Linked DNA regions of Mus musculus. The protein of the gene in region 7 interacts with the protein of the main gene of each other region in a pairwise test. Links are inferred from orthologs where the notes say so. Each region holds a gene or a part of one and is shown on either strand. Other genes may lie near its edges.

Evidence for each region.
Region 1: the proteins of 5730409E04Rik (region 7) and Amot interact in binary tests that used the Homo sapiens proteins (3 or more experiments, as listed by UniProt). The two-hybrid records come from large-scale screens. The link is inferred for Mus musculus from reciprocal best matches to the Homo sapiens genes C1orf216 and AMOT.
Region 2: the proteins of 5730409E04Rik (region 7) and Psmc6 interact in binary tests that used the Homo sapiens proteins (3 or more experiments, as listed by UniProt). The two-hybrid records come from large-scale screens. The link is inferred for Mus musculus from reciprocal best matches to the Homo sapiens genes C1orf216 and PSMC6.
Region 3: the proteins of 5730409E04Rik (region 7) and Myrip interact in binary tests that used the Homo sapiens proteins (3 or more experiments, as listed by UniProt). The two-hybrid records come from large-scale screens. The link is inferred for Mus musculus from reciprocal best matches to the Homo sapiens genes C1orf216 and MYRIP.
Region 4: the proteins of 5730409E04Rik (region 7) and Ushbp1 interact in binary tests that used the Homo sapiens proteins (3 or more experiments, as listed by UniProt). The two-hybrid records come from large-scale screens. The link is inferred for Mus musculus from reciprocal best matches to the Homo sapiens genes C1orf216 and USHBP1.
Region 5: the proteins of 5730409E04Rik (region 7) and Ccdc114 interact in binary tests that used the Homo sapiens proteins (3 or more experiments, as listed by UniProt). The two-hybrid records come from large-scale screens. The link is inferred for Mus musculus from reciprocal best matches to the Homo sapiens genes C1orf216 and ODAD1.
Region 6: the proteins of 5730409E04Rik (region 7) and Nup62 interact in binary tests that used the Homo sapiens proteins (3 or more experiments, as listed by UniProt). The two-hybrid records come from large-scale screens. The link is inferred for Mus musculus from reciprocal best matches to the Homo sapiens genes C1orf216 and NUP62.

The regions. Positions count from the first base shown.
Region 1 is NC_000086.7:145,473,977-145,477,876, forward strand, and holds part of Amot (angiomotin), read right to left. Parts: intron 2,364-3,900; coding exon 2,219-2,363; intron 1,837-2,218; coding exon 1,744-1,836; intron 1-1,743.
Region 2 is NC_000080.6:45,332,559-45,336,458, reverse strand, and holds part of Psmc6 (26S proteasome regulatory subunit 10B), read right to left. Parts: intron 1,807-3,900; coding exon 1,739-1,806; intron 1,543-1,738; coding exon 1,428-1,542; intron 1-1,427. UniProt on the Homo sapiens protein: Component of the 26S proteasome, a multiprotein complex involved in the ATP-dependent degradation of ubiquitinated proteins.
Region 3 is NC_000075.6:120,464,362-120,468,261, reverse strand, and holds part of Myrip (rab effector MyRIP), read right to left. Parts: intron 3,569-3,900; coding exon 3,464-3,568; intron 3,362-3,463; coding exon 3,301-3,361; intron 817-3,300; coding exon 698-816; intron 1-697. UniProt on the Homo sapiens protein: Rab effector protein involved in melanosome transport. Serves as link between melanosome-bound RAB27A and the motor proteins MYO5A and MYO7A. May link RAB27A-containing vesicles to actin filaments. Functions as a protein kinase A-anchoring protein (AKAP).
Region 4 is NC_000074.6:71,392,855-71,397,503, forward strand, and holds the start of Ushbp1 (Usher syndrome type-1C protein-binding protein 1), read right to left. Parts: upstream 2,948-4,649; 5' UTR 2,860-2,947; intron 2,616-2,859; 5' UTR 2,540-2,615; coding exon 2,486-2,539; intron 2,318-2,485; coding exon 2,196-2,317; intron 1,957-2,195; coding exon 1,521-1,956; intron 1-1,520.
Region 5 is NC_000073.6:45,927,103-45,931,002, reverse strand, and holds part of Ccdc114 (coiled-coil domain-containing protein 114), read right to left. Parts: intron 2,480-3,900; coding exon 2,380-2,479; intron 2,213-2,379; exon of another isoform or gene 2,172-2,212; intron 1,937-2,171; coding exon 1,747-1,936; intron 1-1,746. UniProt on the Homo sapiens protein: Component of the outer dynein arm-docking complex (ODA-DC) that mediates outer dynein arms (ODA) binding onto the doublet microtubule. Involved in mediating assembly of both ODAs and their axonemal docking complex onto ciliary microtubules.
Region 6 is NC_000073.6:44,814,620-44,818,887, reverse strand, and holds the start of Nup62 (nuclear pore glycoprotein p62), read right to left. Parts: upstream 2,801-4,268; 5' UTR 2,405-2,800; exon of another isoform or gene 2,230-2,404; intron 1-2,229. Other genes in the region: Atf5 (cyclic AMP-dependent transcription factor ATF-5), read left to right, coding at 3,722-3,899. UniProt on the Homo sapiens protein: Essential component of the nuclear pore complex. The N-terminal is probably involved in nucleocytoplasmic transport.
Region 7 is NC_000070.6:126,608,405-126,612,942, reverse strand, and holds the start of 5730409E04Rik (UPF0500 protein C1orf216 homolog), read right to left. Parts: upstream 3,090-4,538; 5' UTR 2,931-3,089; intron 1,268-2,930; 5' UTR 1,263-1,267; coding exon 570-1,262; 3' UTR 1-569.

The DNA.
Region 1 (3,900 bases), on a different chromosome or scaffold from region 7:
ATGTGCCTTGAAAAGAAATGGACATTTGCTGAACACTCTCTACCTATCAGGCATTGTGCTTGCTTAATCCTCAGAACAAGGATCTGGGGTGTTATTCTCCCCTTCTCTATTTTGCATACGAGGAAACAGGACTTGGAGCTCGAGCATGACTAACACGCCAGAGCTCCTGGAAAATGAGGGGTGGATTCCATACTGGAGCTAAAGTTTTCTAGTGTACCCAATCACCTACTGGCTTGAACTGCTTCTATCTTTCTGGGGTTGCTGGAGTATATTCCCAGAGAAGGTTTTTCAAAAGAGCCTTCTTTCTTCCTTCTACACTTCCCATCTCTGAGGACCCTTTGTATGCCCAAGGGCACAAGAAATAAATGGGTCAAAAAGACATGCTCTCTTCTCCACCTAGTTTTAGAACCACTGACAGTATTTCACCCTGTTGTTAATGTAATTTTGCTTAGTAGCTAAGTGAATTTCATGAACCCACAGCAGAGCTCTGAGAGCACCTGAAATACCATTTCTTCACACAGAGGAGTATAAGCTAGAAGATCCAGGGCAAGAATCCATATGTTTTGTTTTATTCTGGGAGGCCACCACTGTCTTCCTGCCACTGAACTAGCTTCCAGGGTAACAGTGACACCACAAAAGCAACTTCACAATTTACCCTGGGTTCTGATGACACCAGAAAAACAACATTCCTTACCCTTAAGGCTACTGACAAAGGAACAGGAGGCTCGGGCCAAGAGGAAGAAAAACTGTTCCGAAGCCAGAGCACAACAGAGCAATCCAGGCAGGGAAGGGAATATTGTAAATGAAGATCAAACAGACTTGTAAAAGCTAACTGGAAACTGCACAGAATGACATGAAAGGGTCATTGGGAGACCCAGCAAAAATAGAACAGACTGACAAGTCCCCACCAAGAAGGACTTCAGTGGGAGTTGCACTGAGGGAGGCTGGGGTAGGGGGGCAGCCAAGCTTAAGCATCTGTAGGAACAAGGACAGTTCATCTGTTCTCAACCCAATTCATGCTCCCAGTGGGCTCCAACCACTATGAAGTTTTTATTGCTGCTGTTATTAAAGCAATTGGAAAGAATTAGGCATTGTCTAGCTGGGTGGAGTCCATTAGGGACTCGATAAAGAAGAGGATTAATTCATTGTTACAGTCCTAGGAGTATTTCCAGACAAAGGAAGCACTATTATAAGGAAGGCTCAGCTCTGCCCAGCCCCATACCCTCCAACTCCGTAATCAGAACCATGAGTCCAGGTCATACCAAGGCCCTTCCTTTTCTGGTCTTTCTACAATCTGCCAGTGGGTAATAATATGACACAGCAATAAGTGTTTAGTAGGTGAACCCGTGGCATAGGCTGGGGATTTCAAACATTAATCATTGTTCTTTATGTTCATCCCATCTCCCAGAGCCTACAATCCCTTCAACATTATTGAGGACAGTATTCCCTAAGGTCTTTTCTTCAGCTAGCCTTGACAATGGCAGGAACTCTAATGGATTTTCTCTGACTTAGTATGGAGAACACTCCTTCAATGTGACTAGAGTTGAGGCAGAAGCCTTCGTGGCCTTTCATGCACTAACAGGAAAAAGATAAGACTCATTCTCTCCTGGATGTTCTAGAAGGCTAAAGAAAAGAGTCAGGCAACATTTTCATAAACTTTACCTCCAACCAGACCTGCCACATTTCCACACCTGTTACTACCATGCATGCATTCACGCCTGCATCTGGAGATTGCAGACTTACGTTTGGCAAAGAGCTGCGAGATGGTCTTCCTGGTGTCCTCGGACCCCTCGTACTCCTTCTCTGCCAGCTGCTTGTTGGCAGTCTCTAGACGGTCTGTGGAAGGTGAAGACGGTTAACACACATGCTATCTGCCTTCTAAATACAGGCCTTTGGCAAAAGTCATCACTGGGATTTTGGTTTTTTTGGGTTTGTTTTGTTTTGTTTTTGACAAACAGGGTGGGTGGCATAGTCCCAAATTTTCAAATGTAAATCTTAAAATAATACAAGAGCTACTCTAAAGCAAGAATCAGATGTCGTGGCACATGCTTTTTTATCCTCACTGCCTGGGAGGGGAAAGCAGGGGAATTGTGGAATATGAGGCTAGCATGGACTATGTTGTAAATCCTAGGCCTGCCTGAACTATGTAAAGAGACCTTGTCCCCCAAACAAACAAGCAAACAAAATAACTAGAAAGTGAAGTGCACTTGCCGCTCACCTCTCAGATCTCTGTTGAAGTCATGCATCCTTCTAATCTCGCCCTCCAGCTTGTTCCTCATGGCTTTCTCCAGAGCCTCTCTTTTGGAAGATGACTTCACCAAGTTCTCATAAGCCTCTGAGACCCGTTGGATTTCTGTCTCCACCTTAACATAAAAAAAGGAAAGAAAGATGATATTGATACTAGGAGTCGGATGGAAATGACAGTTTAGAACCACACATGTGACTCTTCAGTTGCATCTCCTTTCAGATAGACTGTAAGCTCAGTCAATGACTCAAATGCTTCATGGGATTTCCTTAGGACAAAAGCAAAGTCTCTCTTTCTCCATAAAATGGACTTTATACCTGATTTTAATTTCTAAATTATTTTCTGAGTGTAATTTCTACATTATTTCTTGATTTTGAAAATATTAACATTGTATATTATATAGCAATAACTTTATTTTGAAGCCCTCAAAGGACTTCTCTCTATGTGGTTCTCTCATTTTGTCCTGACATCTGCCTAGGCAATGTTAACTTGTCCCAGTTTAGCATAAGAGAGTAGTTAAATTACTTATCTCAAGTACAGATCAGCAGCACACATGAGCCCTAAAATCCCAAATCGTCAGCCTCCTGCAGTATAATTCAATTCACTTTCACAACTATTTAATCAAGGGTCAAAGAGTTAGGAAGGTCTGATTAACCAGAGTGAGAACATGCACATTATCCTTGCCTTCAAGGAACTTTCAGTATAATCAAGTCAGAGAATAGAGGGCAAACTACAGCTTTAAAAAAAACAAGGCATAATGATATAAAGCTAAAAGAAGGAGCAAAGATCCCTGGGTGGGGGAGGGGAGGAAAATAATGTCAGGGAGAGATGGCATTTAGAGTCGGATCCTGAAAGCTGGATTGGATTTCAATGGGCAGAGGTGAGTAGAAGGGTATTCTATTCTGAGTAAGCAAATGCATTCCCAGAATGACCAGGAGTCTAATCTGGCTGGACACTGTGTGGTAGCCACAGGGAAGCTAGAGGGATATGGCTGTGAAGATGGACTGAAGGCAGGTCATAAAATGGTTTTAAATGTCAGGCATTTGGACTTTAGCCCATACTCACCAGAGTCAGTGGGAAACTAGTACAGATTTCTAACTGAAAGTCAGGATTTGTGTTATTTTATGACACCTCTCTGCAAATCTTATAAAATGAGAAGAAGAAGAAAAAAAGAAAAGAAAAAAAAAGAACCAGACAAAGACTCTTGTCCAGAATTAGACAGAAACAGGAAGAAAACAAGAAATTAGACTCCAGAGCCTTGCGACCAGTACAGCATGTGTAAGAACCGCAGACCTTATTTGCATATAATTTGTATAAGACAAATAAACCCCATGGCCTATTAAGCAATTTTGAAATTAAGTCTGACTCCTCCAACCGCTCTGCATTGCTTCTCAGTTTTCCACTCTTCCTGAACAAAGCTCAGGGTGCTTTAGGGGGTGAAATACACAGGCGCCCCAATTGAAGGTGGGGGAGGGGAGGGAGGATTTCTATCACCTCCAATTCCAGCTGCCCCCATCTTTAAAATCCTGCTGGAGGCAGGACTGCCTGCAAACAAATGAGGCTTATGCCACTGAAAAGAGCAGACGTGAAAGTGTTTTTCTCCTTGCAGATGGTACCAAGATAACAGCACAGAAGGTGAAAACTGGTGAATGGCA
Region 2 (3,900 bases), on a different chromosome or scaffold from region 7:
GAAGAAGAGGAGGAGGAGGAGGAAGAGGATCTGGCTATCCAATTTATTTATAGCACCAACTACTTGAAATACCATCTGTGTGATGTTACTGAATGTTTCTGATGCCATGAAGCATGATTAGTATAAACTAAGTGTGAAGAAACCAAAACCACCAACATTCCAAAATATCTGAGGATAAAAAGTGTGTGTAAGTGTGTGTGTGTCTCCTACTCCTTGGCAGATGGGATGCAGCCAAGCACTGTGGGAGGGAGGCAAGTTTCATGAAGACATTTCCTTTTCCTTCTCTTACCCCCTCACTATCCTGAACTCAGTATATACTTTGATTTCATAGTCAGGCCAGTGCTTCTTTATATATTGCCAAGAAAAATCTGGTTTCATAATCACCTGGAATGCCTGTTCCCTACCCCAATCTTCAAACTACTCAGACCAGTTTCCTTTAATTTTTTAAAATATTTATTATTATTCTGTGTACAAATATATGTCTGTGTCCCTATGTGTGTCTGTGTCCACATGCATGTGCTAATGCACTTGTGCATGATGAGGAGGAAGTGTATGGCACAGCACACTTGTGGGCAAGAGAAGACAACTTTATGGAGTCGGTTCTTCTGCCCTCCTTCACCTGGGTCCCAGGGATCAAACCCAGGTTATCTAGCCTTGTGTGGCAAGCACTTTTACTGACTAAGCCATCTTAACAGCCCAAGCAGTTTATACTTTAATAATGGTTTCAAAATGTGTAATGAGCTGAGGTCTAAGAATTATGAACCACCATGAACTACACATTCAAGAACTACTCCCAACTCTTCTCATTCATTCCTAAATACTTAGGCTGGCCTCGGGAAACATAAATCAGTAAGACAGTGTAACTTCCCAGGTTATGAGACACGGCGATCCTAATCTAATTCATCACTTGAAAGCTTATAAACTTCTGTAGCCAGTATTCTAAAGAGCAACAAATAGTTTGAAAAAAGATAAAAATATTTGGGGGCCAAGGTAACACAGTTTTTATTGTACTGGGTTCAACATCACTAGCTTTAGGAAAACCACACAGCATGTTGCCCAGTGTGCAACTAGTTGACCTAAGCACACTGAAGACAATTGGAAATGTAAATGGCAAAGGTATTAGATACCAATATTTCTTCACTTTGCCCTATATTCTTTTTTGGACACAAAAAGGTGACTTTACCAACACTCCAAAATAGCAAGCAGCAGTAATCTTTACAGTTACAAATTCATTGCTATTCTCAGCAGAGTTACAAATGTATAATAAGCAGAAGCTACTATTGAGCCAAAAACAAAATGAAATGAAACAAAACAAGAAAAACCAACCAAACAACAACAACCCAAAATGTAATTTTACACCATTTCTCCCTTCAGACATCCTAAAAGCAATAGGGCAATAGTCTGAGATCAGAGAACACAACACCCACCTCTCTTAACTCCCGAATCTGTTCTGACAGGCCTCCAATCTCAGAATAAGATACATTTCCAGGATCCTCGTGAGACATGTTATAAACCAATGGATCCACCTCTCTTGGCAGATATCTAGGATGAAAAAAAAAAAAAATCAGAAACTTTTCTCTCAAGGGATTTCGTCTTAGCTTGTGGATTATGCAAGCACCTTCTAAAGACCTTGAACTTAATAGGTAAGGGGTAGTAAAATCTTCAATGATTCCACAAATCCTGTACTTTAGAAAACCTCCCCTCTAAGAAAATGGGAAGTAAACAATGAGAAACCCACCTCATGATGGTTAGTGTGGTCATATCCAAAGCAACTCTGGTTCCTGGCTTCAGCTTACTTTTGTCAAGCTGGTTTCATAAAACAAAAGATGTTACACAAACATTTAAAAGGGGAAATGCTACTTTAACAAGAGCTTAATATTCAGAAACCATATATATATTTCAATACTACATAAGAGACACAAATATCACATTATAAACTCCCTGTCAATAGAACTTAAAAAAAAAATCCCTTAGTGAATATTTTGGGGAAAAAGAAAGGAAAATGGTTTGCAAGTGTATCTATAAAATGTCTTTTGAACATCTTCTAGAAGAAAAAATTTATATACATAACCCTAAGAGGAAAGGAAACAGGTTTCCTTTAGAAGATTTCTATTAACATACTAAGGAATGCAAGCCTGTGGTGCTACTGCACGCCTTTAATCTAGCACTTGGGAGGCAGAACCAGACAGATCTCTGAGTTTAAGACCAGCAGGATCTACAATGGGAATTCCAGGATATCCAGGGCTACACAAAGAAACCTTATCCTCAAAAACAAAAACCATACTAAGGAATGCAAACGAACAAAAAAACCAAAACTCACTCCTGTGCCCTTGTACACAACACTCCTCATAGTGAACACATCAGGTTGGATAATTACTACATAGTTAAGCATGTTGACTTCTTGGTTACAATCGGATACTCTATTCTATAGATGCACTGAATATATACTGAAGATCTCACTTGTCAGAAATAAAAAGTTATGTTCCAATAGTTTCAAAACTGTTTACCATCGTATTTTTAGAATTTTAACAACTTTGTACAGGACTCTACAATGAGCTATAAATTTAGATTGAATTGTGCTCACTAAACTAGAAATGATCTAGAAAGTTAGTAATAACAACATTTGCTTCCTTTTCAACCCACCAGTATCTTCCAGATACTATATAAGACATCTGGACCATGGTCAAAATGATGGACAGTCCTAGAAGCATCATCAAAGCGATGTGGCTATTGGTGGAAGGCTGAGAAGTGACTGGGCAGGCACAAAATTAACACTGGGAAAGGATGGTGTTACCTTAGTCAGTTCAAAATGAAGTAAGGGGTAAGGAAATTGCTCAGGGCTGTTTTCAAGAGGGAGGACTTAAGCTCTTCTCTCTCACGTCTATAAAAAGCCAACTGGTACCTATTAGTCCAACATTGGTAGGTGGGGATAGGCAGATCCCAAGATCACTGGCCAGCTAGCCTAGCCAAGACTTCCTCCAGTTCTATGAGACCCTGTCTCAAAGCAGTAACACAGAGAATGATGTCCTGCTCTGGCCTTCCTATAGGTGCATTACACAATCACATGCATGTACCACATATATAATACACACACACACACACACACACACACACACACACACTTCCTCCAGTTCTATGAGACCCTGTCTCAAAGCAGTAACACAGAGAATGATGTCCTGCTCTGGCCTTCCTATAGGTGCATTACACAATCACATGCATGTACCACATATATAATACACACACACACACACACACACACACACACACGCGCGCGCGTAAAAATAGGCAAAACACTAAATAAAAAGACCTTTATAGCCGGGCAGTGGTGGCGCACACCTTTAATCCCAGCACTTGGGAGGCAGAGGCAGGTGGATTTCTGAGTTTGAGGCCAGTCTGGTCTACAGAGTGAGTTCAAAAGAAACTCTTTCAAAACAGTATCTTAGAAATGCCAATTTTTGGCATCCAGAGGGCCTTGAAAGGAATGCAAAAGCTAACTAAGACATAACAAAACTCCATTTTCATTAGTAGGGTTCACCAGGTGTCTCATGTGCTTGCCATGTATTTTGCTACTGTGCTACATCCCCAAACCTGGGCCTATAATACTTTCTAAATCTTCATTTTTATGTATATGGGTGTTTTGTCTGCATATATGCTGTGTTACCATGCAGGTGGCTGTAGAGACGAGAAGAGGACACCAGAGCCCTTGGAAATAGAGGTATAGATGATTGTGAGCCCTTGTTGAGTGCTGAGAATCAAACCCAGTTCCTCTGGAAGAGCTCCCGTGCTCTCAACAGCTGAGCCACTCACCAGCTCCTAGGCTTGTAGTATTCGATTACAAAACTATCTAGTTATATGCTGAAATCCTAAGATTAGCTTTAGCCTCAATGTTAAATATTATTC
Region 3 (3,900 bases), on a different chromosome or scaffold from region 7:
TCCCCAAGTTGCTTTTGGTCATGGTGTTTCATCTCAGCAATAGCAAACCTAACTAAGATACCCCATAAGCTATGTCACCGGTGACAGTGTCTTGCTATGTAAGTGTGGCTCGATGGGACCTCACATGCAGCCCTGACTGGCCCCCAACTTGCAGTAATCCTCCTGCCTTAGCCTCCTTTATGGCGAGATTACAATATGACCTACCTGATGTGCTACAATTGTTTTTGTTGTGAACACTCTCTTATCCCTCCCCATGATCCCCAGAGTCTGGAACATCACCCTCTGTCAGGTCCCTTGTCACATTTAGGGGCAGCTGCTGCTCTGCTTAGGAAAAGGCATTCGTGGCTAACGGAAACTTACAAGCACAGATGGATCATTCCAGAGTAAAAACCCTTACACATCCACCAGACCTGGCACTCTTTCCTTTCTCTCCAATTACAGCTGGTTCCTAAAAGTGCTACATATAGCTGAGATGGCAGACTAAGGCTAAAGAGGTCAGCAATGCCACACAGTGTGGCACACACCCTACAAAGTCTAAGGCAGGTCAGGAGACCAGAGAGGAAGGTTGCCTCTTGGGGCTCTGCTGAGGTAGAAGGAAGGAAGAAAAGCCTGCAGGATGGGGTCACAGGGGCGGGGGTGGGGTGCAGGGGGCGAGGACTGGACCATCATGTAACATAATGGGCACAGAGATTCTTACCATCAAGTCCTTGGTGTCACCGGTACTTGCTGTGGGCCTGTTTGTGGAGGAGCCTTGGAGAAGGAAGTTGCGGTTGAATGTCTTAATGGGGGTCACGGAAGATGCTTCGATTTTTTCAGCTAAAAAGGAAACAAAGAATAAGAACTAGGTGCCAGTAAGATGCTCAGTCAGGAGGGTTTGGCCTCATTTTTCCAAAGAAGAGGTTCAATAATTAAAGCATGCCGACCCGGCATGTATGCTTTCCTCAATGTGACCTGTCTCCCCTACCCTCAGCACGTTCTGGACCTCCTCATAAGCTACCTCACACTCATCTGTGAGCCAAGGTTTGCTTCTAGGGGGGACCCAAGGCGAGACACGTACGAACATCTGGAGAGATGGCTCAGGAGGGAGGAAGACTTGCCATGCTCGCGGTGGGATCCCAGTACCATGTAAAACAGCTTGTAACCCAGGAGGCTGCTGGGGTGATTGGCCACCAGTCTAGCTCCATACACACTCTCACACACATGGACACACATGCATACTACCTGTGTACATGCAATCTCATACAAATCATGCATGTACCCTCACACTCATACATACACTCAAACACATGGACACATACATCAACACACTACACACATATATGCACACTCTCATAAACTTGAACATATACTGACACACAAGAACATATTCATGCTTATGCACATTCCCTCACTCATGCACACGCTGTTACACACCAAGTCCATGCCCACACTCAAACACACACACAAACACACACACACCTCACACCCCACATGCGCACACCAGATACACACCCACATATCTTCACACTCATGTGGCCAACACACTGAAACACACTCACCTATAAACAGTTAAACACAGCTTCACAAACTCACACTCATACATATTTACAAAACACAAGCATACAGTCTCACATTCATGGACTCATTCACCTTACACATGTTCAAACACATTCATAATGCATCTACTCACAAGTGCACATACTCAAACATTCTCAGGCTCACATGCACACCCATATCCCCCACACACTCAAACCTCATATTCTCTTACACACTCAAACTCCCATACAATTCACCCTCACAGATTCATGTAACCTCCCCCCCTCAGCCTGAAATCTGGCTGATCAGGTTTGACTGTTATCACCAGGAGATCATGGGGGGGGTGTGTGGAGTCTGCCACCCTATCGTTCTGCCACTCCCTCTGCTACTACCTGCCGCCTAGCTGTTCCAGAGCCAACACGTGGTCACCTGCAACTGGACTCCAAGGATGATTTGGCGGGAATGGGCCCCTTCCCCTTCTTCATAACCCCATGTCTCCAAATAGTAAAATTGAACCTTGATCAGACTAATGTCTTGGTTCCATCCTTTCTTGCGCCGCCTAGTTCCCTCTTTTCTTCCAGATTCCAAGATGCCTTCCAGGCTTGAACCCAGACATGTGAGCTGCTGGTCGGACTCAACAGATTCACACATGAAAAAACCCCAAATCCCATAATACTTTCACAACACACAATCACATAACACATACACACACACACATGTACAAATCATACACTTGATATATTCCGCCACAGACACATCAATGCAGGCAATCACTCACATCTAATCTCACACTCACATAATACCCACACTCAGTTGCACACTGAGCCCCACACCCTCACATACACACTCACACCAGCCTCACACCCTCACATGTACACTCACACCAGCCTCACATTCACACATGCACACCACACTACCTTCATACACTACTCTCATTAACATAACTCACCTGCACACACTTACACCATCATACTCCCAGACTTTCACACATACACTTGCTCACCCAGGCACACTGACATACACCAACCTTCTCACACCTTTTGGGGGTTGGTCTGGTGCTGCTGTGTATCCAAATGCTAAATGCTGGCCCCCAAGACCTATCTGGCTGTCCTTGTCAGTAAGATCCTCACATACACCGAGTGATGCTACACAAACCCTGCTCCCCAGTTTAAAGTTAACTGGTTAATAAAAGGCTAGAGCTTGTGATTGGTCAGTAGAGAGAAAAAGGCGAGAGTTGAGGGTTGAGTGACAGGTCTCAAGTAGGGAACAGGAGGGAGAAGAAGGAGAGAGAGAGAGAGAGAGAAAGACAGAGAGAGAGAGAGACAGAGAGAGACAGAGAGAGAGACAGAGAGACAGAGAGAGAGACACAGAGAGAGAGAGAGACAGAGAGAGAGACACAGAGAGAGAGAGACAGAGAGAGAGAGAGAGAACTAACCATGAGAAGGGTCCATGAGCATGTGGCCAGGAGAAAGCAGTAAGTAGCAAGCGATATATACGGCTGGGATGTAAGTTAGCATAGCTCAAGACCTACCCAATCTAGGCTTACAGCATGTTAATCAAACAACAAGATCATGTATTTTATACGGGCTAGCTAGAATATTAGAATCCATTCTACACACATCCATTCTACACTCGTCCTCATGCACGCCTTCTCACACACTCAAGTAAGATGGATTAACACAGTCCCTAGGGAGATGGCACACTGGATCCGGCCCTCACACTTTCACACACTCAGGGCCCAGGTTCTCCCAACAACCCCAGCTTGCTGTTTTAAGTGCAACATACCTTTCACAGGAGGGGCAGGCAGTTTCCTCCTCTGCTGCCTCGACGTGTCTATAGTTTGTACCTACAGAGAAACACGGCTGTCAGTACAGCTCTGCAGATCCTAGATATTTGGCACCTTCCAGGTCATGTGATATTCTATTGGGGGCGTGAAAGGCAGACACACCTGGCTCCTTTGCTTCTGGTCCCGTCTTCGTGTGAGACGCACACACGGTGCTATGTTTAAGCCAGCGATGGTCAGGGCTGAAATGCGGCTCTCGATGTCCGAGATCTTCATGCAACAGAAAGAAAAGGTCAGTAAATACCGAAAGGAAGAATCCTGGTTGAAAATGCTACAAACTATAAAGAATGAATGAATCTGCTTTTATGTCTGCTTATTCATTCATTCACTCATTTCTGTTTTTCTTTTTGAGACAGGGTCTCATGTAGACCAGGCTGGTCTGAAACTTGCTATGTAGCTGAGGAGGACCTTGGACTCCTGACCCTCCTGCCTTCACCTCCTAAGTGCTGGGATTACAGGTGTGCACTTCAACACCTGGCTCTTTCATTCATTTAAATCCTACCAGTGACTGGTCTATCCACCGCTACAATGAAAAGACAAAG
Region 4 (4,649 bases), on a different chromosome or scaffold from region 7:
GCTGAGACAACTCTCCAGCCCTCTCCACTTTATTCCTTTCTAAATTTTTAGTCATTTATACCTCCCCAACTGAAGCCACCCCCCACTTCAGCCTCCCAAGTAGTTGAGATTTCAAGTGTGCCCACTACATTCAGGAGAATTCATTTTTGTTGTTGTGAGAAGTCTCTGAAAGCTGTGCTAAGCCACGCCCCTAGCCCCTCATTGGAGGATTCTAGGCTGTCACTCTACCCCCCCCAGTCACGCCCACAGCCCTGACTGGAGGATTCTGTATCCCTACTTGTCCTAGTTTTGTTTTGAGACATTTGCCTATCTCGTCAAAGCTAGTGTTAAACTGTGATCCTCTCATCTGAGCCTCTGAAGTCCTTATCATTACAGGCTTGTCCCACCATATCTGGGTTTAACATCACCCATAATCTGTAGGTTTCTGGTCACCTCCACTAAACGCCCCGGGCCACTTCACCCCTCCTCCACCTTCAGGATTATGGTCCACCGCCAGACTGTTCCGCTCACAGTCATCAGATGGCACAAGTGAACGCCTGCAGCAGGTCAGTTCCCCTCAGAATCCACCACACACCAGAGCACACTAGCTTTCAACACCCTGCATACTGTGGCCTTCCCCCACGCGCCTTCATCTCTCCCACTCTGTTCCAGCCACAGTGATCTCAGGATCTGTGGTGGTTCGTGTGAACTTGACATCAACTGGAATCATTTTGGAAGAGGGACCACAATTGAGAAAATGCTCCCCGAAATGGACCTGTGGACACTTTTCTGATTGACAATTGATGGGGAGGGAGGGGCCAGCCCATTGTGGGTGGTGCCATCCCTGGGCTGTTGGTCCTGGTTCTATAAGAAAGCAGGCTGAGCAAGCCATAGGGAGCAAGCCAGTAAGCAGCATCCCTCCATGCCTTGAGGTTCCTGCCCGAGCTTCCCTCAGTGATGGAGTGTGGCCTGAGAGTCTTAAGATGAAATAAATCTCTTCCTCCCCAGTTGCTTTTGGTTGAGGTGTTTTATTACAGCAATAGAAACCCTAAAATAAGTCTGGCATAGCTCACACCTTTAATCCCAGCACTGGGAAAGCAGAGGCAGGTGGATCTCTGTGATTTTGAGGCCACCCTAGTCTACCCTAGTAAGTTCAGGACAGCCAGGGCTCTGTTACACAGAGAAATTCTGTATCCGAAAAAACGAAAAATAAAAAACACCCCCCAAGACAGGATTAGTGTGTGTGTTTGTGTGTGTGTGTAGTGCAACTGACATAGGTAGGGTCTGTAATCCAGGCTAGCCTTGGACTCAGTCTACAGCTGAGAACAAAGTTGGTCTTAGCCAGGGCTCACCTGAGTGGAGACTGTCCCTCTTGGACTTCCTGAGTGTTAAGATCATGGGGTGCAGCCTGCCTGTCTTCCTTGCTCTCCCTCTCACTGTGCTGTCTCTGTTGGTCACTTCCTTGGCACATCTGTCACTGTTCCACATCAGTGTGTCTGCTCCCAAGGCTGGATCTGCCTCTTCCCCAGTCACCAGCTTACCTGTCTCTGCAGAGTCTCCTTCTCTGCCTGGGCGTCCTGCAGTGAAGCCTGAGTGCATGCCAGCTCATCCTCCCGGTTGCACAGGGCTAGCCGCAGCCAGGCGTTCCTCTCTATGAGGCGAGCAGCCTCCTGCTGTCCAGGTCCTGCGTCTTCTTTCTCATCACCAAAGGGCCCCGGAGCCCCCTGGTCTCTGTCTTCTGCTTCCACTGACTTTGGAAAGCTTAGCGAGTGGTGGCGCAAGGCAGCTACAACTGCCTCAAGGGAGCTCAGCCTGCACTGCAAGGTCTCATACACACTGGGTACTGATATCTCAGCAGGGCCACTATCCAGGGGGGCTTCTTGCAGGACCTGGTGGGCTTCCACCTCAGGCTCGCACTGTTCTTCTGGGCTCAAGGATAGAACCGCATGGGATCCCACATCACAACCCTCCTTGATCCTGTGAAGATAGTGGGGGAACCCCAGCCACCTGAGGCTCAGAAGAGACCTGGAGGGCTAACCCTAGGGTCGCTAGGAAGGTAGAGTAGGGAATGAGCGGCATGGCTGGAGGATAAACAGGAAGAGGAGAGAGGCAGGCAGCAGAGGCAATGGGCAGGTGAGTGGCAGGAGGCAGCTTTGTGCAGGGGGGGTGTTGGGGTGTTGGGCTAGAATATAGGGTACATACTAAATGCATCCTACCAGTTCCTTGGGCTCTGAAGGCCAGGACCAAGGTATTCCTGATGCAGCTCAGGTTTAGTCTCGAAGCGTCCATTGTTGGCATCTACTTCCTCTGAGCTCTCAGCTACAGGGTCTAGCTCCCCCTGTGAATGAACCCCGTTTCCCCCCAACACACACACACAGTCTCTTGGCCATCATATCCAGCTCCACCTGTGGAGGACTCCCCTACACCACCACGGGCTCTGAGCCTAGCAGGCCTGGGTTCCCAGGATCCATGGGACTGAGTGTGGCAGGAAGAGGGGCACACTTACAGGCAGAGGATGCCTCCCTCGACGGCTTCGGGGCCGTGTGGCCCGGGCACTCATTGCCTCTGTCACTACAGTCTGCTTTCAGTTCTTGCCTTCGTCACCTTAGAATCCTTGTTTTTTGTTTTTTTGTTTCCTGTAGGATTTTTGGGGTGTCTACTCCGATTGACACATTTAAATATTCATATACCTCTCCAATAGTGCCCACTAACTATCTACTTGTTCCTTACTCCCCCATCCCCCATCTCTACTGGGCATTCTTCTCCCCTCAGCTGTCTGAAGGCGTTTCTCTTATCTGTGCCCCACCCCCCATAGAAGCATTGGGTAGGGACCCTAAAATCCTCTTTCTTCCTACGGCTCTTAGCATCAAACTCCCTCACCCTGGGGGTTGACCCTGCTGCGCTCTTCTCTGCTTCTCCAGAGCACCTTGGGAAAGGCCTGAGATCCAGGGCATATCTCAAGCCATTCTGGCCACTGGCTACTGAGGCTGCGATAGCCAAAAGTGGCCCGGGAGGGGCTGGGAAACAGGAAGCCCCCCTACCCTGATCACATGGACAGTTATTGTTTCGTTTCCTTCTCCAGGATGCCGGCTTCCTCCAGAACGGGAGGAGGATGGAGGACCAGGACCTTTGTCCCGCTCTAAAGATATCAGTATCCCCTTACCCGAGGCCAAACCTTCCATTTTCATTTTGGATTTTTTGTGTCCCCTGTTCACCAGGACTCGCTCTAATGTGAAGGTCTTTGTGTGTGTGTGTGTGTGTGTGTGTGTGTGTGTGTGTGTGTGTGTGTGTTTCTAAAACCAAAAAAAAACCAAAACTGTAGGAGTTGGCTTCAGCATTTGCACAGCTTTTATTTTTCATTACTTTGCTTTACTCATCTTTGTCTGTGGTGGTCCTACTTGTCTCCGAGATCGAACTCAGGCCCCTCAGGATTGGTGGCAAGAGCCTGCACCTGCTCAGTAGCCCACAACGTTTCTCTTCAATGAGTCTGAACTGCTGCATCAGGCGGTTGGAGGCACTGGCAACAATAAGCTTGTCCACAGTGTGTCTGCTGCCTTCTTTACTTTTTCTTTACATTTTAGTTTTTATACAGCGTCTCATTTAGCCCAGCCTGGTCTAAACGCCCGATCTTCGTCTCCGGGTCTCTGGAGTGTTGGGATGACAGGTGTGCACCACCAGTCCTCATCAAGGTACTAGTGAATGAATGCCAACCTAAGTTACATAAGTAACTGAGAAGGCCTTTGGCAAGTCCAAGCCAAGTCCTACCCCGTCAATCATCAAACGGCCCCGCCCAGCTCAGGCTTCTGTCCTATTTCAGCAGAAGCCTTGAGAACCATAGCGTGATTAAACCGGAACTACAAATTACGCCCAATTTTGCTTCTATCCACCACAGATCACACCCACTCCCAGTATTACCCATCTTCAGCCCCATTCCAGCCACTCCAAGCCACACCCCCAGAACGCCTCAGCCTATCAGCTTCCATGTCCCGAGGGCCACTGAACTACATTTCCCAGAAGGTGTCTCGGCAGCGCCGCACAAACTTCCGGCCAGGAAGATGGCGGCTTCCTAGAGTCCTGATTGACTGGCCGCGGTGCCCAGGCTACAGAGTGGAACCTGCGGCACTGTGAACGCGCGTGAGCTTTGTGTCGCCGTGGTCTAACTTCGACCCGGATTGCTGTAGCTCCAGGTTCGTTCTTCTTGAGGACTTAGGGGTGGGGGATTCGAGGTCCCGAGATGCCACCCCTAAAACCGCGCATCCATCGCAGGGTCACTTGGGCTTCCTGTGTTTCCCTAGGGACCGGACCGGCGCCGCCTCAGGGGAAAAGTAGTTTTGGGAAACTTCAACTGTATCTTTTCGGCTCCACAAACCAAGTCTCCCAGGTGTGGGAGCCACTGGAGGCCTTAATGGGTCGAATACCCAGTGACCAGGCAACTGGGGTGTTCGTCCTGTGTAAACAGCGGAAAGCTAAGGATGAACAGCAGTTCAGTTGGAACAGTGCTTGTGGCTCAGTTGGTAAAGAGTTTGCCTAGCTTGCATGAGGCCCTGGGTATCCGTCCCTAGCACCACCTAAACTATGTGCGGCGGTGTACTCCGGCACTTGGAAGGTGAATACAGAAGTACCCGGCCATTATAAGCCGTATAGTTTTAGAGTTAGAGTGCAGCCTGGGC
Region 5 (3,900 bases), on a different chromosome or scaffold from region 7:
GTGAGCTTAGCAGCCCACCTTGGGTGTGACTTGGCCAGATCACCACAGACCATTCACCACAGCCCAGGTAAGAATGTCAGCAGCCAGGGGGTGGGTATGGGGGACTTTTGGGATAGCATTGGAAATGTAAATGAGGAAAATACCTAATAAAAAATTAAAAAAAAAAGAATGTCAGCAGCCGCCCAGGCAGTGGTGGCACATGCCTTTAATCCCCGCACTTGGGAGGCAGAGGCAGGCGGATTTCTGCATTCAAGGCCAGCCTGGTCTACAGAGTGAGTTCCAGGACAGCCAGGGTTATACAGAGAAACCCTGTCTCAAAAAAAACAAAAAAACAAAAACCAACAACAACAAAAGACAAACAAACAAAAGAATGTCAGCAAGTATAACAATCAGTCAAGCTGCAAATCAAGGCTTTGAGTTCTCAGAGCTGCCTCTCATCATGGCTTTGACTTCTTGAGGATTCTCTCACAATAAAACCAAAACAAAACAAAAATCAAACAAACAAAACCAACAGGGGCTGGAGAGATGGCTCAGCAGTTAAGAGCACTGACTGTTCTTCTAGAGGTCCTGAATTCAATTTCCTGCAATCACATGGTGGCTCACAACCGTCTGTAATGGGAACCAATGCTCTCTTCAAAAAATAGAGAACCGGCTGGGCAAGGTGGCACACGCCTTTAATCCCAGCACTTGGGAGGCAGAGACAGGCGGATTTCTGGGTTTGAGGACAGCATGGTCTACAGAGTGAGTTCCAGGACAGCCAGGGCTACACAGAGAAACCCTGTCTCAGAAAAAAACAAAAATGAAACACCAAAGGGTTGGAGAGATGGCTCAGTGATTAAGAGCATTGGCTGCTCTTCTAGAGGACCCGAGTTCAATTCCCAGTACCCACGTGGTGACTCACAACTGTCTGTAACTCAAGTCCCAGTGGATCTGACTCTCTTACACAGACATGAAGGGAAAACACCAGTGTACATAAAGATTAAAAAAAAATTTTTTTAAAGGGCTAGAGAGATGGCTCAGACATTAAGAGCACTGGGAGCTCTTCCAGAGGTCCTGAGTTCAATTCCAAGCAACCACATTATAGATGGGTCTAACCATCTATAATGAGATCTGGTGCCCTCTTCTGGCATGCAGGCATACATGCAGGCAGAACATTGTATACATAACAAAAATTTAAAAACCAAAACCAAACAAACAAAAAAACTTTAAAAATAAAACAACAACAAAAACCTTACTTAGAAATTAAGAGCTCCAAGACAAAGGAAGTTTAGGTACCACTAGTTCAAAAATGCCTCCCAGGGTCCCGCATGGTAGCCCACGCCTTTACTTGGAAGGCAGAGTCAGATCTCTATGAGTTTAGTATAGCTTGGTCTATACACCTAGTTACAAGACACCATAATAAGACCTTGTTTCAAAAAAGCAAAGCAAAACAAACAAACAAAACATTCTTCTCCGGTGGCTAAAAGTATTCAAATAGGTCCACAGTCCAGCTAAAATTTAGTGTGAATTTGGGAATAGTTTCTTTTGCTTGGCACATTGCAGGAATGGGAGGTGGGATTCGCAGCCTGTAGCCTTGAACTTACAGCAACCCCCCTGCCTCAGTTTTTCAGGATGTTGGCTTTACAGTTAACACACCATCCCTGGCTCTGGGTGGAGCTCTGGGCTCCATTTTTCAGATAAGATCGCCAAGACTTAGAACAGTTACTACAAGGTCTGATAGGATGGCGGCCAACTCGGAGAACCCACCTGCTTGTCCAGGGCCCGGTTCTGCTCTTGCAGCGCCTCGATTTCCACCTGCACCTGGGCCCGAGACTTGAGAAGACATTCCATTTCCGCCAAATGCTTCTTGTCTCCCAGTCGCTTGACCTGGCTCTGCGCTACGTTAATCTGCGTCTGGAGCTTGGCTCGAAGCATCTCCAGCTGCCGAATCTCCTCGCTGTCCAACCGGGAGGAGCAGGTGGTCCGCACCAGCAAGTGGCAGCACTCAACCAGTTCCAGCCGGCGCCCCTCACTGAGCCCCGACACCCCACCTCCCCACCCCCACCTCCCACCCCCCACCCCCCACCCCGCCCCAGACCCTGTTTTTCCCAATCCCGTCTCTTCTCTACCCCAGCACTGGACTCTCCAGAGATCCTGCAACTCTCAGGCCCTGCACCTCCTCCTGTTCCTACCTTTTATCCTGTCCCTTTCATGAACCACTCCCCTGTCCCGGCTCCTTCCCCACCCCTGTACTTCCCCTCCCCTCCTCCCCTCCTCCCCTCCTCCCCTCCTCCCCTCCTCCCGTCCTCCCCTCCTCCCCTCCTCCCCTCCTCCCCTCCTCCCCTCCTCCCCTCCTCCCAGGGCTCAGAAGTCCCTTTTCTGTTCTTTTCCCCAGCTTACACTTGCTTCCTGAGGCGCTGATGAACTTCCTTGCTGTATGCCCGCCTTTCCAACTCCATCATCTTGCACTGCCGTTGCAGGCGGCTGAGCTCCCCATCCACTGTGGATGAGACCAGGCAAAGGACTCAAAGGGATCAGGACTGTCAGATCTCCCCAGAGGGTCCCTTTAGGATCTCAAAAACTACAACTGTACCCCAGTCCCAGCCCTGGCATCCTATGGAACCTCATCTCAGTCCCTGTGTTCCCAGTAGTCAAACTGACCCATTCCCATCCCAGCTGTTCTGGCTTAAGGATGCCCCCTGGTCTAAAACACCTGGGACTAGAGAAAGAGGCTCCCTCCTAGCTTTCTGTTGGACTGCAGTGGCCTCTCTCCTACTATCCTCTGGGCTTCACCCAGCCTCCCACTCATCTCCCTACAAAATCCTCAAGGACTTCCTACACCCAGAATGGTCCCTTCCTTCCTCTTAGATGCCTCAGTCTAAGGCCAGAAGAGCCTGCCATACCCATCTGTCTTAGTTAGGGTTTCCATTGCTGTGAAGAGACACCATGACCAAGGCAACTCTTAAAAAGGACATCATTTTATTGGGGCTGGCACACAGGTTCAGTACATTATCATCATACCAAGAAGCATGGCAGCATCCAGGCAGGCATGGTGCTGGAGGAGCTGAGAGCTCTACATCTTGTTCCAAAGGCAAACAGGAAAAGACTGACTCCCAGGCAGCTAGGAGGAGGGTCTCAAAATCCACCCCCACAGTGACACAAGTCCTCCAACAAGGCTATACCTACTCCAAGAAGGCCACGCCTCCTAATAGTGCCACTCTCTGGGCCAAGCATATTCAAACCACCACATTCTACTCTCTGACTCCCCTAGGCTTGTTCAAACACATGATTCTATGGGGACCACACCTAGACACAGCATGACACTAAAACATTTAGTCCAACTAGAAATGTCCCCATAGTCTATAACAGTCTCAACAATGTTAAAAGCCTGAAGTTCAAAGTCTCGTCTGATGTGCATCCAATCACTTAACTGCAATCCCAAAGCAAGATCAAAAGCCAGCTGGGCAAACTCCAAACTCTACATCTCTATGTCAAAGTGTTCTTCAGATCTCCAACTCTTCTCTGCTTTGTTGACTGCAACAAACTTCTTTCTCCTGGGCTGGTTCCACTCCCTGTTAGCAGCTTTCTTCAGAAGGTATTCCCTGGCATTTCAAACATCTTGGGGTCTCCAAGGCAACTTCAACTTTGCAGCTTCTTGTTCCAATGTCTGGGATCCCCACATGATCTTCTGGGCTCCTCCAAAGGGCTTGGATCACATCTCCAGCTCTGCTCTCTGTAGCACTCTAGGCTCTGGTTGACTCCACTCCATTGCTGCTGCTGTGCTTGGTGATCATCCCATGGTGCTGACATCTCCAATACACTGGAGTCTTCTGCTGTAACTAGGCTTCACCAACAGCCTCTCATAGGCTCTCTTTATGGTGCCAAGCCTCAAATTCTTTGCATGACCCTTTCAGTCCTGGT
Region 6 (4,268 bases), on a different chromosome or scaffold from region 7:
CTCAGGGTGGCAGGCCTCCAGGGATGATCACAACTCCCATAAAGTGACGGCTGTGCACATGCTGGGGAGGGCATGGCAGCTAAATGTGAAAACCAGCTCTTGAGTTAAGGTGGATCTGAGGGCGGGGGAAGCATCTGGGTAGGACCTCAGGAAAGAAAAAAGAAGTACCATGGGGAAGACTATGGGCTGGTACCCCCACTCTGCACTGTCTTTGAAACCTTTCGATTATTCCAAAAGTTTACTTTAAAATACCAAACTCAAGGAAAGGAGCACCACCGGCACAGCAACATGGCACAATGTTTCAAATAAAAACCAGCACCTGTGGGGCCCAGGGATGCAGCTCAGGTGGTAGAATGTCCATTTAGCATGCAGTTCATGAAGCTCTGGGTCCATCCCATTTCTGTATTCGTAGCAGACTCCACATGGACTTAACAAAGCCCATAGCTGGCAAGGGAGGGCTGGAGTCTAAACACATCAAATCACGCCTGTGCTCAAACACTGGCAGAAGATAAGAATTCACACTCTGATGGCTCAGTGTTACAGAGCACTGACTGCTTTTCCAGAGCAACCACATGGTGGCTCACAACCATCTGCAATGGAATCTGATGCCCTCTTCTGGTGTGTCTGAAGAGAACCTGTGTACTTACATAAATAAAATCTAAAAAAAAAAAAAGAGTGCCCATTCCAAGGGGAATTATCTCAAGGACTTGTAACTTTCAAAATCAGTATTCCCCACCTGCTCTGAATCTTTTACAGTACCAGGGATGGACACCAGAGTCTGGAAAGCAGTATTCTGGCCAACACTCTGCCACCAACCTCCAACCCCAGCCCATTACATATTTTTTTAAAATCAGGATCTTTGTTAAGTTCTCTAGACAGCCAAGAACTCACTTTCTAGTCAAGGCAAGCCTTGAGCTTTTTTCCTCCCCTTACTCAGTATGTAGACCTGTCACTACAGGTGGTGGAGGTCAGAGGACAACCGTCTAGAGTTGCTTTTGTCCTTCTACCAAGTGGGTCCTGAGGATGGAACTCAGGAGGGTTGAGTTTAGAGATCACCACCAGAGCCATCTCAAAGCAGCTCCAGCCCTGACCTTGACTTTCAATACTCCTGTCTTAGCCTCCTAAGTAGGTGAGATATCAAGCCTGGCCTCTGGACTTTTTCTTTTTAAAACACATTGAGGCCAGTCAGTATGACCCTGAACTCATGATTTCTTTTCTCCCATCTCCCAAATCCTGAGAATACAGGCAAGTCAAGCCCAATCCATGTGGTGCTTGGACAGAGACTAAGGTTCTGGTGTTAAAAACAGACGAGCATTCTTGAGCTCTATCTCCAACCATTCAGTCTCTCAGCTGCTACAAATATGACACACTGACTGACTTTCACATGGAATGCCAGCCATGTACATGAACATGGGGTAGAAAACAGGGTTCACGCATCATCCCCGGTGAAGGACAAGAGGGACTCTTTTACTAAATGGAATATAAATGTCCTATTTTGGACAGGATCAAGAAATAATTATCTAGTGGGGTCAGCAAGAGAGCAAGGACTGCAAGAAAGTCAGAGCAAGGGCAAAACCTTAGAGGTCGGCAGGGATGGCTGGAAACAGAAACCTTGGAGGTGGGACACACAGAACGATCATATGGCTAAGAATCTGGGGTAGGGAGAGTAAAAGAGGTGAAGTCAGGGTTTTTTTCTAAAAGAAAATACAATGACTGAGCAGTGGGTAAAGGCTGCCAAATAGTTTGACCCGAGTTCCGTCCCTGGGACTCACATGGTCAGAGAACCAACTCCTGCTAGCTCTCCTCTGACCACCACAATAAATGTTAAAACAAAACAAACAAAAATATGTTGAAGAGTCTCGTGGTTAGGACTTCGTGGCCTACTTTCCATAGCTGATATATCTGTGCGCGTATACAGCGCTCTACAAGTACTTGGGAAGCGTTATCTCGCGGTTGCTGCCTGGAACTCCTCTATGAAGCCTAAGCTAGCTTGCGCCATTCGGCGATGGGCTTAACCCACGAGGTCTCGGGTGGCAAATTCGTGAAGCAGGGAGAGAGAACGAGACGAGCTGGTTTCGGGTGTGAAAGACACATCGGATCTGACCGATTCAGGAGACCGAGCCCGGGCCCCCAGCCTGAAGCAGAGAGTGGAGGGTCAGGGCGACATGGCGGGCCCGGGGTCGCCACCGCCCCGTCGGGGCCGCGCGAGGGCGGGGCGCGGAGGGATCCAGGCAAGCCCGCGCTGCGCCGCCCCCGGTATATTTGTCCCCAGGCCCCGGGGCCGCCTCATTTTCAACCCTCTCAGCACAGTCTCCCTTAACGCTCCCGCCACGCCGCCTCCGCCCGCGCAATGGCTCTGTAGCCGCGACCCCGTCGTGTCCCCCGCCCCCGTCTCCGCGCTCACCGCGCCTTCACTCTCCGCTCACACCGTCTCTTCAGCCGAGGCCGCCGCCGCCGTTGCCTCCTCGCCTTTTCGCCGCCATGGAGTGAGTAACCGCTCGCCCCTCCCTCGCCAACTGCCTTTCCCGCCCTTTCAGAGCTCGCGGGGCTTCACGGGTCAGCCTCGTGGTGGGGGCGGGGGAGACGAAGTGAGGAACCACGGTCGCGCAGGCGCAGAAGAGGGAAGCTGGCGGCCGGCGCATCCGCTGAGCAAGCGCACTAGGCTCGAGTTGCGAGGGGCGGGGAGGAGGAGGGCGTGCTTCCGGAGAATTTGGGGGCTTTTAAGGTCGGCTCGCGCGCCGTTGCGCCTGCGCGCTAATTCACAGACCCTCTGCCCCTTTTCCTCCAAGGAGACAACCCCACAACCTGTTGCGCATGCGCATTGTCTTATTCCCCCACCCCCCCACCCCTCCACCCCCGGCCTGAACTACGGCGGGCGGCCGGTCATTGGCTAAACACGCGCACTGGTCCCCCAGGAGGGTAGTGGCGTAACAATGGATCGGGTCCTGGGACTGAGCTTGCGCCTCGTCGCTAGTCGAGCCAGCAGCGAGGAAGGGTGGGGTTTTGCTTGAGGCTCCGACTCAGGCCCAACTTCCCTCCAATCAGACACCTGCTGGGGCGGGGACTGGCTTAAACTGACAGGAAAGGCTTTAGGAACACCTTTAAGAAAGAGTTAGCACTAGCACTACAGGGGCGGGGCCTCTAGGGACTTGCTAGTGGGGGACGGGAACTGACTGTGACAGACAGAAGGGTGGGCGGAGCTTCCCGTAGAATCTTTAGAAGTCACCAAAATTTTTAAGGGAAGAGCGGGATCTGTGTGTGTGACACTGATGAAGGGCCCAGGCATGCAGAATTATTCTGGGAACCCCTGTGGATTAAAGGGGGTATAGTCTAATGATGCGGAAGGGGCACGGCTAGAAGGAAATTCCCTTGGGATTGAAATTTTTATGAAGAGGAATAAGATGAGGTGGGTAGGAGGGACTAGAGGTAATTCCCCTGGGAAAACACTAGGTTTCTGTGTTGAGGGAGGAGATGGGGCAGGGGAGTTTCCAATAATGTCCCTGGGAATGTGTGGAGCGCTGAAATTTTCGGAAAGAAGGAAACTGTGTAGCCTGTGGGTCAAGCCGCTTTGACTCAATCCCACCCACGTCCCCTTGTCCTCACAGGTCCTCCACCTTCGCCTTGGTGCCTGTCTTCACCCAGCTGAACAATCTTCCACGCTGCCTCCCAATTGTTGGTGCAGCCTCCATTGCCGTCGCTGCCCTGTGCCTGTGTCACAGCCATGTCACTCCTGGCGACCCTGGGACTGGAGCTGGACAGGGCCCTGCTCCCAGCTAGCGGGCTGGGCTGGCTCGTAGACTATGGGAAACTCCCCCTGGCCCCTGCCCCCCTGGGCCCCTATGAGGTCCTTGGGGGTGCCCTGGAGGGCGGGCTTCCAGGGGGGGGAGAGCCCCTGGCAGGTAAGAACAGGTTAAGAAGAGAGGTGGGTTGAGCTGGGGGTGGGGGTGGACAGAAAAGGAAGAATTTATTCCTTCACAAGATCAGTACTGAGGGCCTGCAGTGTGCCCAACACTGTTCTAGGTCTGCAGGGTTCCGAGCAAGGGATCCCTAAGCTCATGGGTGCATCAGGAGACAGAAGTGGGAGACCAAAGCTTAGTGGACAGTGATGAAAGACATAGTTGAGAAGTCAGCCCCTCTAAGTAGATGACATCTGAACTGAGGGCTGAGGGATGGGGAGAAGGAGCCATGATAAGGTGGAAGGGGGCTCCATCTCAGAGATCCTGGGGCACAGTCTCTTTTGACTATGTAACAGATGGTTGTCCCAGACT
Region 7 (4,538 bases):
CTGCAGGAGAACAGGTCAGCCACAGCCCTCAGAACAGGAGAACAGGCCACAGCCCTCAGATCTATGACAGTGGGAGAGGCTTCTATCTCTAGGAAGCTGGGAGGTGAGACTCAGTAGAATATAAGGCTGGGGTAGACTTTGGGAACACAGGAGATGGGTGGACGCCCTGCAGGTGCAATTGAACATACATTTACACACACCTGCCCTTAAGTCTCTGCAAACACACACATTCCTAGCACATGTTTCTTATGCCAGCACTGGAACGTGTAAGTCTCAACACACACCCAACACAAGCCTGTACATATAAACTGATACACATGCATATATATCTTTTGTCTCTACATTCAGGAATATATATACACATTCCTGGGTACCTAGCCACACATGCATACATAAACACACATGCCTTACATACCTGCTTACATGTTAGCATATAGATATTCACTTATGCTTACTTGCATACATGCCAGCTAATACTCACATCCTTCCTTGTGTATAACCACTCAAAAGCCTGCAAATGCACACACTTGTGCACACACACACTTGTGCACACACACTTGTGCACACCCTTAGCCCTGGTCCTGGTGCCTGCAAGGTGCTTCCCTCTGTTGCAGACAGCGGATAAGCTCCTTCCGGTTGTCCAGGATGGTGTCAAAGCTCTCTTGCAGTCGGGCCTGCTGGTCGACCAACTGGTGCTGCAGAGCCCGGATCCACTGGAGCAGCGCCAAGCGCCGATACATCACCAAATGCGCGTGGTGTTTCTCCTTCTCCTGTTCTTTGTAGCGCTCCTGAGCCTGCAGCTGCTGCACGGCCTGGGCCACGGAGGGCAGAAGGGGATCCAGAGGGCTCGGACCTCGAGGGGTATCGCAGACAGGTTCTGGACTGCTGCTGAAGCTGTCGATGCTCAAGGAACTGCTGGCATAGCCAATGTCCTCCAGAGGAGAGCAGACACTGCTGGCACCGCTCAACTTCTCTGGCTCAGCACCAGGGATCTCCGCACCCTCCGGGGGACTGCGGACTCCGGCCTCAGGGAGCCTGGTGGCTTGGAAGACCTGGTTATCAGAGGGTGACTCAGAGGAGCTCCTTATCAGAATAGGATCCACTTTGCCTGGCACACCATGCCAGTTCTTATTGGCATCCTTAGCACTCTCCACAAAGTTGGAGTTATTGTCTGGTTGGAGGTCTGGTTGGCATACTCCAGGAGGCAGGCTCCCTGGGTACTGGGCCCCCTCTGCTAGTCCTGGCTGGATGGCAGCGAACATCTGGACTGGGAAGGAGAAGGAGAATGAGACAGAGCAGGACAGGATAGAATGGCAACCTAGAGCCCAAGAACCTTGCAATGGTGTCCCTCCCTTCTCTCTGATTATTTGGTCTGTCTCCCTCCCAGGGTTTTCCCTCTAAGGCTCACCATCTCTTCACTCTACAAACTTCTCCCAAGGTCACTTCATCCTGTTATAGCTTCAAGAACCATCCTGTGTAGGTGACTCTCAGATCTGTGTCCAGCCCAGATTCAACCCCTACTCAACCCTATGACCTACCACCAGTTCTTCAGATCTACACATCCTGACAGCTCTCCTTCCAGGGTCCTTGGGCAGGACAGCTCTGCCATCTGAAGACAAGTCTATCTAGCCATGCCTAGGAGCACCCTGGATTACTGACCCTCCTCCCATGCCCACCTCACTGTCCACATTTTGACAAACTCTCCTTTGGCCCTGGTCATTTTGACCTGGGTGATTGCCACAGCCTTTCCACTGACCCTCGTTCAATTAAAAATATAAATTTAGGAGCTGGAGATATGGCTCAGCAGTTAAGAGCACTGGTTGCTCTTCCAGAGGACCCATGTTCCCAAGTCAGATGGTTTACAACTGTAGGCATCGCTGGCTTCACACCAGCCCCCACCCCCCAGCCTCTCTGTTCACCCACATGCATGCATGCATACATACACATGCACACACACAGATATGCTAATATTTTTTTTTAAAAAAGATGTCCTGTTAAATAACAAATAATACTTGTAAAAGGAACATATGTCTACATCTATACAGATGTATAGATATAGACAGGTATATTTCATAAGTCCACAGAAAACCACAAACATTTCCATGATGTCTCATAACAGTAGCAAAATTACAGTTATGAAATAGGAACAAAAGCTAAGTGGTGGCGGCGCACGCCTTTAATCTCAGCGCTTGGGAGGCAGAGGCAGGCGGATCTCATGAGATTGAGACCACCCTGGTCTACAGAGCGAGTTCCAGGATAGCAAGAGCTACACAGAGAAACCCTGTCTGGAAAACTCAGAAATCCACCTGCTTCTGCCTTCCGAGTGCTGGGATCAAAGGCGTGCGCCACCATGCCCGGCTACTGACCACATTTGTATGACTTGAAGAACTGAGGCCTCGTGAGTGAGACATACTATTAAGTCAATCAAGCAGCTACTAAGAAGGTTCCCCTATAGGGTGGCAGCGACCCTCCCCACACCCAGCAATGGGCAGAAGTCATGAAGAGAGACTGAGGTTGGGACAGATGTTTCACTCCTTTGGCTTGTGAGAAAAGGCCTGAAGACACCACCACCACCACCACCACCACCACCACCACCACCACCACCACCACCACCACCACCACCCCACCCCTCCAACTCTCTTTCCCTCTCCCTCTCTTAAAATTTGTCCTAAATCTGGCCACAAAGGAAGCTGGGGTGGGGCGGGGCTAAGGATCCAGGTTCAAAAAGTCAGTGAAATGAGTGCAGACATCCTAAGATCAGGATTTTCCCAAGTTAACCCACAGTATGGGGGCATGGGAGCGGCTGTAGCACGGGGATTGGCGGACTTGGCAGTGGTCCGAGCTCTGCGACCCTAATCTCTGCAGAGGCAGCTCCCTAACCCGCTTTCCGGCGGCTGGGCCCCAAGCCCTCCATCAGGGCCCGGACTCACGGCCTAGAGGCGCCCGCTCCTGCGGGGCTTGCTACGGTCCCTCGGGTCCTGCTCGCTGCAGGGTGGGGGATTCCTGGACCTGCGCGTGCACGCGTGGTGACGCGGCTGCTTGGTCCAGGCACAGCGGCCCTAGCCCCAGCCCGGGCTGCGGAGTCCAGCAGCGTCTGCGCGGCTGGGCGGAGCGGTCTGACCCACGTGGGCCGGTTCGGTTCTCCGCGCAGGAACTGCCTCCTCCCGCAGCTTGACCCGAGAGCCTTGTAGGTCCGGTGTCATCTCCTAACCACCCTGGCGAGGCGCCACGGATCCATTGGTTCTCCTTGCTGCAGACATGGCGACGAAATGCCTCCTTCCTGGGTTTCCCAGGGGCTCGGCAATTGGCGAGGCCGTGGTGCGGGTCTGGACCCGCTGTGGTCCTTTCTGTGCTCCAGCTCGGCACCTTTTCTGCCGAGAATTTTCAGTTCATCCCCACTTACTCTATTTTAGGATCTTTGAGCACCTTTCTGGCTTCTAGATCTGTTTTTTACTTATTATTTATTTATTATATGTAAGTACACTGTAGCTGTCTTCAGACACTCCAGAAGAGGACATCAGATCTCATTACGGGTGGTTGTGAGCCACCATGTGGTTGCTGGGATTTGAACTTTGGACCTTCGGAAGAGCAGTCGGGTGCTCTTACCCACTGAGCCATCTCACCAGCCCCTAGATCTGTTTTTTAAAAAGACCCCTTCACTGTACTGTACCTATTTGATTAAATGCTATGAGGATTTTATTGTTTGTTGTTTTGAAACAGAGACTCATTATGTAGCCCTGGCTACCCTGGAAAGCACTATGTAGACCAGGCTGGTTTCCAGTTGCACAGGGAGATCTGCCTGCTTCTGCCTCCCAAGTGCTGGGATTAAAGGCATGTCCCATCACCACCAGCCAGCTTTCTTTAAGATTTTATTTTTTATTTATGTATATGTGTTTCTCCCTCTCCTCCCCCCCCCCCATTTCTCTCTCTGTGTATATAACTAAGAAGGAGCCCCATTCCAGGTAAGTCACAGTTCAAACTATGGCTGCAGCAATCATATTTCCTGTCAAGTGGAAGAAGCCAAGTCTATGTACTAGGAGAAAAAATGATACTGACACACAGGAGCTCAAAGACAAATGGCTGACTAACATCCCAGCTTCTGCTTCCTGGGTTTCTAGTTTTGATGCCTTCCCATGAAGTTCATATCTTGCCATACCCAACCTGAGTGGAATTTATCTCACTGATAATCAAAAGATTCTTGAATTAATACACTAACACAATGAGGTACCCCTGGATTCTGATCATTCACTGCTACTGTGTAGCTGTTTGCTGTAAACTGAAGAGGGGGGCAGACGTGAGATTCGGAAGATTCTAGAAGGCCCTCTTCAAGGTAGTGGGTGATGTAAGGGGTTGCTGGGACAACAGAGACTCTTCAGTGACACTGCCTGCTAGTTGTGTTGGGAGCTCCAGGGATGCAGATTTTCTGAGTGGCCACCCAGCTGGACTCAGGTGCCTTTGACCTAGCTGCCGTTGAGCTAGCGATGGCACTGTGAGTGAGCCCCAACCCTTAAGCAACCCCGGTCAACTCATTGGTTCAC